Kluyveromyces lactis: one gene and its partner. The protein of the gene in region 1 interacts with the protein of each later gene in a biochemical or structural test. Links are inferred from orthologs where the notes say so. Each region holds a gene or a part of one and is shown in the gene's direction. Other genes may lie near its edges.

Region 1 (4,553 bases):
CTTTGGTAAATTCGATGGTATTTTGGGGTTGGCTTACGACTCCATCTCTGTTAACAGAATCGTTCCACCAGTGTACAACGCTATCAAAAACAAACTTTTGGATGACCCAGTGTTTGCCTTTTACTTGGGTGATTCTGACAAGTCTGAAGATGGCGGTGAAGCTTCCTTCGGTGGTATCGATGAGGAGAAGTACACCGGTGAAATCACTTGGTTGCCTGTTCGTCGTAAGGCTTACTGGGAAGTCAAGTTTGAAGGTATCGGTTTGGGTGAAGAATATGCTACTTTAGAAGGTCATGGTGCTGCTATCGACACCGGTACCTCTTTGATTGCTTTGCCAAGCGGTTTGGCTGAAATTTTGAACGCTGAAATCGGTGCAAAGAAGGGCTGGTCTGGTCAATACTCCGTTGATTGTGAATCTAGAGATAGTCTACCAGACTTAACTTTGAATTTCAACGGTTACAACTTCACTATTACCGCATACGATTACACTTTGGAAGTCTCTGGGTCTTGTATCTCTGCATTCACTCCAATGGACTTCCCAGAACCAGTTGGTCCCTTGGCCATTATTGGTGATGCCTTCCTACGTAAATACTACTCCATTTATGATATTGGTCATGATGCAGTTGGTTTGGCCAAGGCTGCCTAATTGTTAAAAAAGCGATCGAATTGTAACCTTTTGAATTGGAGTTCAGCTTCTATTAACTCGACAACTCTAAAAAAATAATTAAATAAGACGGTTAACTTACTGCTATATTAATTGAATGTCAGTTTCACAAATCGAATTAGCTAACAAAGTATAACAACACTTGGTGACAAATAAACCTTAAAATACCTAAAAGAATTCTTTCCTATTTCATCATAAAACAATTGTGTTCCTTCCTCTAAATATATAGACGATGGACATTATTCAATTGGCTTTGGCTTTGGCTACCTATAAATGATTCATAAAATGTCGATAAATTGCCTTTATCAGAATCTCTTTTTCATTTCTCTCCCAAAATTCAAGTATCGATTTTAGTTACATTTTTTTTTATGTTACTTTCACAAGGTCTGTTAAAAGTAGTGAATATTTCTATAGTAGAATAGGCCTACCAAAAAATTCATATATATTTTTTCATTTTATTTGGAGCACATGCCACTCTCAACTTCTCTGATCTGTCAGGCGCCTCTTGATCCGTTCTTGATTTTGTTAACGTTGGTGTCGAGATGTGTGTGAATTGCCAACTCTCCTTGATGAAGATAGTTCTCAATTATAACTCAAATAGGTAATTTGTCAACATAATAGACATATTTCGATATCTAAAAAAAATGATAGTAAGATGAGACACAAGGTCAAACACTAATCATTAACAGTAGTCTGACATTTATCTATTTGCCCATACATCTGTCCCTGCATAATATATATGGCCTTGCTTCACATTATCTTCACTGGATCAGCTTCATACTCAAAATTTTCGTACTGTTATTATTTGTGATTAAACAATCATATTAGGACACAATATTGGATTACGCAAGGATTTGCATTGCAACGAAAATATAGCAGAGTAACACACCCTTGAGATAGCCAATCGATCATGATTACCAAACCAGTGGCACTTCCACTCCATACATCATCGTACAATTCACCCAAAAGATTGATGAGACCTCCCAGCACACCAAATCTAAGAACTTCATCAACAGTAAGGCCAAGATCAACTTCCTCGTCATCTTCGAGTCAATGTTCTTCACCAGCAAGAAGTTCTTCTACGAAGGCCGCTTCTCCAATTCGTGGCGGGAGAAGTTCATACCAGGGTACCATTTCGGTAGGGGTAAGAATCAAGCCTACTCATGGAAAACAAGATTCTTGGCACGTAAATAACAACTCCATTATTCATGAAGAGTTTGGGGAATTTAACTTCGACCATGTTTTCAGTCCGGAGATGAATAACGATCGAGTATATGAGACTATGGCATTGCCTATGATAGATAAATTATTCGAGGGATTTAATTGTACAATTTTCGCTTATGGTATGACTGGTTCAGGTAAGACATATACCATGAGTGGATCCAAATCAGGTCCTGGTATAATACCCATGTGCGTTGACACTATTTTCGATCGTATCAATGTGGGATTACCTCGCAAAAAGTTTACTGTCAGAGTATCCTATTTGGAAATTTACAACGAGAGAATATTTGATCTATTGAATTTACCACAGGGCAAAACTTTAAATAGCAATATTATGGTGCCCAGTTCGACATTGACTAATGATCTTAAGCTTCGAGATGACTTGAAATACGGGGTTAAAGTTGTTGGTTTAGTTGAGAGAAATGTTAGCAGTAATAAAGAGTTAATGAAGTGCATATCGATTGGAGATCATAACCGTAAGACTGGAGAGACTGATTTTAATACAAGATCCTCTAGATCTCACGCTGTGGTCCTTATCCGTGTATTCTGCACCGATGAAATAACTGGCGAGCAAGTGATGAGTACATTATCTCTGTGTGATTTAGCTGGGTCCGAAAGAGCTACGGGGCAACAAGAAAGAAGGAAAGAGGGAGCTTACATCAACAAATCGTTATTAGCTCTTGGAACAGTGATATCTAAATTGAGTATGGAAAGTTCGGGCCTTTCTACAAATGTAGGCCATATTCCATACAGAGATTCCAAGTTAACAAGAATATTACAACCTGCACTAAGCGGGGACTCGTTAGTCGCTACCATATGTACTGTGGATACAAGGCCCGAGACAAGTACGGAATCTATCAATACGATACGGTTCGCCAGCAGGGCAAAAAACATCAGTTTGGCTGTAAAGCGTAACGAAGCCGACAGCAACGTAAGCAAGAGCCAATTAATCCAAACATTGCGGAAACAAGTACGAGAACAGCAAATAACCATCGACAATTTGACCAGGGGGAAAGGTTTCATTGGATCCGGAATAAGTTCAGATACATCACTACTAAGGGAGAACGAGCTTCTAAAGATGAAGGTAGAACATTATGAAAGACTGGAAACGTTAGAACCTAGTATCTTGAAAGATACCGAATTAGTGGAAATCATTGACATGCTCCCACAGGATATTGGTGTGATGTTAGAGACAAAATTGGTCAACATGGACTCTCAATTACAAGAGTCGAAGAGGTATATATCACAGCTAGAGAGTGCAAGGACTCGAGATGCTTCTGCCACTGCAGCCACTGCAGAGTTGCTGTCCAATGTATCAGATATCGATTTGACACAAGTGTTACATGAACAAGAGCAAGAATTGATGCAGTTGCATCAATCTCTTGAAAGGAAGGATAAAATGATAGAAGCGTTGAAGAGCGCGAAGAGACTAAGACAACAACTTGCAGAGTACACGGGAGAAGCTGTGTCTGCTACTGACTCCGACATTGAGATTGGAACCGCAACTGCTGCTAACGTTCTCAAACCGATATCGCCGAATGCCAGCGATTTGAACAGACAAGAAAGACCAATTACGATTGGAAGCGGTACAAGTATCACAACTACCAGCGACAGCAGCGGTACTGGCAGTGATTACCTAAAACCCGTACCGAAGTACTCCATTGCATCAGATGTATTTCCGAAATCAGTTCTATAGGGTGTCTAACAGCAGAAACACCCGATTTCACATCAAAGAAGGTCGAGCATTCTGCTGAAGCTCGAATGTATGCACCTTGCAACGCTTCGAGGGTCTCAAAAACACGCTCTTAGAAAAACTAGCACTGAGGAAAATCAAAAAGAAATTTTATATCCAATTTCACCCGGCAACAAAACTAGATAGGAAAGAACTTATGAGTAACAACATCTTCTAAAGACAAAAAATACGAACCTACAGAATCAGTAAGCAACGGTTAATAAGTAACACATAGACACAGAAACACACCTGCTTCTGTTTTTGTAATCTTCCTTTCTCCCATTTTATCTTCCCTCGAGGTCTCCCAGTCCGGACTGCGAAACTTCCCTAATTTTTTCATTTTTACGCTTTTTGATTTACGTGATTTTCTCGTGGAACATGTCTTATTCCTTACTCCCTGTACCTCAATTGGGATTTCCGACTCTTGCCTGATCCCCAATAACAGTCGGGGATATTATTCGGGCTGTGTCCTGCGCATGTTTTAGTGTTTTTTATCAGCAATTTGGTGTATTATTTCGATTTTCCTTTGATTTTCCAAAAGGAACCACCAATAAATCGAGGAATGAAACTAGATACGTTAGTTCTGTGCGAACCTTTCTGTGACTTTTTTCATAACTTCTCTCGCTTTACAAAACAAGGCTTCGAGAAATAAAGTTGGGGTAACCAAGTTTTTCTGAAGAAAGTACCAAAGGAAAGCATAATCACATTTATAAACACACACATATATATATATGTAGGTATGTCTATATAGTTACATTTATAAAGGTATCCCAACCTTTCTCTTGTTGCATGTGGTTAGGTATATGTTTTTATGCGTAGTGCAACGCGAAAATTGACAATAAATCATTGTGAAATATGGGTCTCAGATCCGGTAAGACAAGTAAGAAGGGCAATAGATTAGTGGTAACCTCGCTTGTGTTGTTTAGTGTCGTTTTG
Region 2 (3,845 bases), on another chromosome or scaffold:
ACACAACTCTAACCGACTCTATTCCAACTTCTGATTTCGGATCTGAGGTAACTTCAAGTATAGTTCCTACCTCAGAAGTCGATTTAACGTCTATTGGAGAAACTTCTACCTCGTCCGGTGCTCTTTCAAGTGAATCATCTATCCTATCCACCTCTTCTGATGGTACTTCAGAGGGTAATTCCGCTCCATCTTCCATACAATCGTCTACCTCTTCTTCTTCTGAAGTTACTTCTACTCCATCCTCCACAGAGTCATCTACTTCTTCTATCTCTTCTGAAGAAACCTTGGTCTCATCCGCTACAGAGTCATCTACTTCGTCCACCTCTTCTGAATATACTTCTACCCCATCATCTACAGAGTCATCTACTTCTTCCATCTCTTCTGAAGAAACTGTGGTCTCATCCGCTACAGAGTCATCTACTTCGTCCACCTCTTCTGAAGTTGCTTCTACCCCATCATCTACAGAGTCATCAACCTCTTCGACAACTCCTACTTCTACTTTGGCCAGCACAACAGCAGATTCTGCAGCTACCACAACCGCCGAGGCTATTTCTGATGCCGATCGCGAGAGTGTTTTGAACGCCCATAATGAATACAGAGCTAGACACCAATCCACCAATCCATTAGTTTGGAATGAGGAATTAGCCGCATATGCTTACGATTACACTCAAACATTGTTCGGTAGCGACAACGATCCATGTAACTATAAGCTACAACACTCTGGTGGTCCGTATGGTGAAAACTTGGCTGCTGGTACTAACTCCGATCCAGCTGCCTTAGTTGGCTTGTGGTACGATGAAATCAACTACTATGACTACAACAATGTCACTGGTATCTCTCATAACGGTCATGATGTTGGTCACTTCACTCAATTGGTTTGGGCTGCTAGTACTGACGTCGGATGTTCTGTAACAAAATGTTCTTCCGGATCCGTCTACTTGATCTGTGAATACTCTCCAGCCGGTAATGTTAAGGTTGTTGGTGGCAATGACGCTTATGTGTTGTATAAGCAAAACGTCAAGCCGTTATTGGAGAGCAATTAGGAAACCCTGTCCAAAACTTGGATAACAAGATCTGATCGATAGCTCTTTTTATGATGGCCATATTAAACACACCTCGATAGAATTGAATAAACCCAACAGCTCCAACCTTCTTCGTTGAATGTATGTTTTCACATTGGTCTTTGCACCAAGTAAGAAAAAACAGCTATTCTATCGTACTCATTGCAACCATCCTTCTGGATTTACTCATGGCCCTGGAGGCACTTAGAATATACCAGTGTTCAAAAGAAACACCCTAATGAAACCTAACAAAAAAGCCATCACTAATCACTTCTTTATTACCTTTTACCTTGTTCTAGTTTTACCAGTTTACCAATTTTCTTTAATGATATAATTACTGTATTGTAGCTAACGTCCGGAAAGTTAAATAGTGAACATCATTTATGAATACAATTACGAATAACTACTTTAGGAACCAGAAGCGGCTAGTTCTATTGCTGTTCAGCAGAATATCATCGCATGAAGTTCGCCTTGCTTTTTCATTTCTTGTTTGGAAGTCAAGATTCACGTGAAGGAGTTTTCTGTTCTATTTACCTTTTGTCATAATAACAATATTTACAGTCAATAGGCAAAAAACTAAAATCCTTAATCTATGGAGATACGATAGTAACAGACCTGAGGTAACGTTTCCAAATACCTTAATTACCAGTATTTTCTCAGCCTTTCCTGATTTTTCTTTGGTTTGGTAAATTTTTAAAACGTATGCCCAAAACACCTTCGTTTCACATCCCAACGGTCTATTTCTAGTGATGGATAATCAAGACTGTATAGGACTGGTAATTGAAGTTCCTAACATAGGTAGAGGGCAAATACGGTACATTGGCTCAGTAGAAACAAAGAAAGGAACATTTGTTGGTATCAATTTGTTTGCTGGCAATGGAAAAAACGATGGAACTTTCAGAGGCAGACGGTATTTTGAGACTTCTTTCCCTCAAAGTGGACTTTTTATCCAATGGGAAAAGATCGCCAACTTGATCCCAATACCTTCTAACCCTGAGGCAAATATGACCATACCACCTGCATCACCTACTCCCGTAAGGATTAACGCAAATTTTTTAGGGTATCATGAACCTCTTCAAAACAGTTTTCCTGAAATCAAGTCGCGAACTAGTATTTCAAATGTCATTCAACCGAATGACGATCCGATGCAAACTACTTCCTCGGACTTAAAAATGTTACAAACAGAGCTAGTTCAATACAAAAGACTAGTAGAGGATCAACGAATTGTATTCGAGGAGATCCAAGCTGCAATTGATGAATATGAGACTAAGTTGGATACCACAGAAAAGGAGAAAGTTCTACTTCAAAACCAACTCGACCATGAAAGAACGTCCCATCAGCGCCAAAAGCAGTTTTATGAAAGTGAACATGATCAGCTTTTGACTGTGATAGACGAGCTCCAATCTGAGATAAACCGGAATGCTGCCATATTAGCCGAGATTATGCAGAAGGAAAAGAAAAATTCCCTTGAAAATGATTATGTTATGCAAGATGAACCGAACAGTGATGCCCTTTTAATTAACGATTTAAGGGAACAGATACTAGAACTACAGCAACACAAGACTCAAGCTGAATTGCATAGGGTCCAATGGGAGAAAGAGAAGGAGCAACTGCAATTCCGTAACCAGTCGTTATCAAAAGAATATAAAAATTTGACTACTGAGATGACAGAGTATCAACAGAAATCCCATGATACAGAGACAAAAGAGTATACTCTCAACAAGGAATTAGACGATGCAAGGAAAAAAATTGGGGAGCTCGAATCCCGAGTCGAAGAATTATCCAAAAAACAGGAAGAAAATACACTTATTGTGGACAGTAACATTGAAACCTTGCCGTTATACAATCCAGGTGCCGAAGTAAAGTCAACTTTAGTGAATGCAGCTGCAGGGCGCTCGTTGTGGTGTGCTCTTTGCGAAAAAGACGGTCATGAATCAGTAGATTGCCCATACGACGACAAATTCTTTTAGAGTCAAAATTCGTCCCTTTTAATATCCATTGTTGTACTTGCATCATATATATAGCATACTTAGCGCATCATCATATAATGAATCATCTTATAATGAATTACCTACAGTCCATCAATCGCATCCGGACTTCTTCTTCGAGTTTTCATTGGCTTTCCTGTGTTTTTTTCATCATATGACTCATGTAATTCAGTGCATATGCGTTCAATCATATTTTCACAATCCACTGCAAAAATCAAGCCTCCTGGTATATAAAAATGAAAATATGAAATATGAAAAAAAAATAAGTTAGTCGTCATGCTTTATCAAATTTCGTTACATTCAGGACTGTCCACCTAAGACAAGAAGTCATAAAGCACCAGAAATGTTGCCTGTTGTACCTGTGTTCAATGCTGTCAATGCGTTGAAAGAAAAGACTTACCTTTACTTATCCAGTCAATTAGTACTTGATGGGAAGGATATGACTAAAGATGATATTTTGGAATTTGTTCAGAATAGTCATGGTCAAAATATTTCTGTTCTATTGAAAGACGCAAAATTTGAGGATGATGATCTGATTGTTCTATTGAATAATGGCGTTGTAACCTTGTTTATTGATTCTGATGATTATGCTGCTCATTTAGTTGAAATTGGGGTACCAAGCATCAGATTGACCTTATTAAAAGATGGTGCATACCAGTTCAGCTTTGGTCAAATACAAGAGATCCAACAATCTCAATTGGTTAAAGCATCTGAAATTTCTTTGGAAACATTCACTAATTCTGTCCTTTCTGGCATGAAAACTGATCGTCCAGATGGTTTATATACTACCTTAGTC

What was found. The genes of interacting proteins can lie anywhere in the genome.
Region 2: the proteins of KIP2 (region 1) and BIK1 form a complex in vitro, tested with the Saccharomyces cerevisiae proteins (2 studies listed by BioGRID). The link is inferred for Kluyveromyces lactis from reciprocal best matches to the Saccharomyces cerevisiae genes KIP2 and BIK1.

What each region holds. Positions count from the first base shown.
Region 1 is NC_006040.1:508,139-512,691, forward strand, and holds KIP2 (Kip2p), read left to right. Parts: upstream 1-1,574; coding exon 1,575-3,581; downstream 3,582-4,553. Other genes in the region: PEP4 (proteinase A), read left to right, coding at 1-646; pheromone-regulated protein PRM4, read left to right, coding at 4,473-4,553. UniProt on the Saccharomyces cerevisiae protein: Required for assembly of the mitotic spindle.
Region 2 is NC_006039.1:110,731-114,575, reverse strand, and holds BIK1 (Bik1p), read left to right. Parts: upstream 1-1,810; coding exon 1,811-3,031; downstream 3,032-3,845. Other genes in the region: KLLA0_C01496g (uncharacterized protein), read left to right, coding at 1-1,043; HIS4 (trifunctional histidinol dehydrogenase/phosphoribosyl-AMP cyclohydrolase/phosphoribosyl-ATP diphosphatase), read left to right, coding at 3,393-3,845. UniProt on the Saccharomyces cerevisiae protein: Required for nuclear fusion, chromosome disjunction, and nuclear segregation during mitosis. Probably required for the formation or stabilization of microtubules during mitosis and for spindle pole body fusion during conjugation.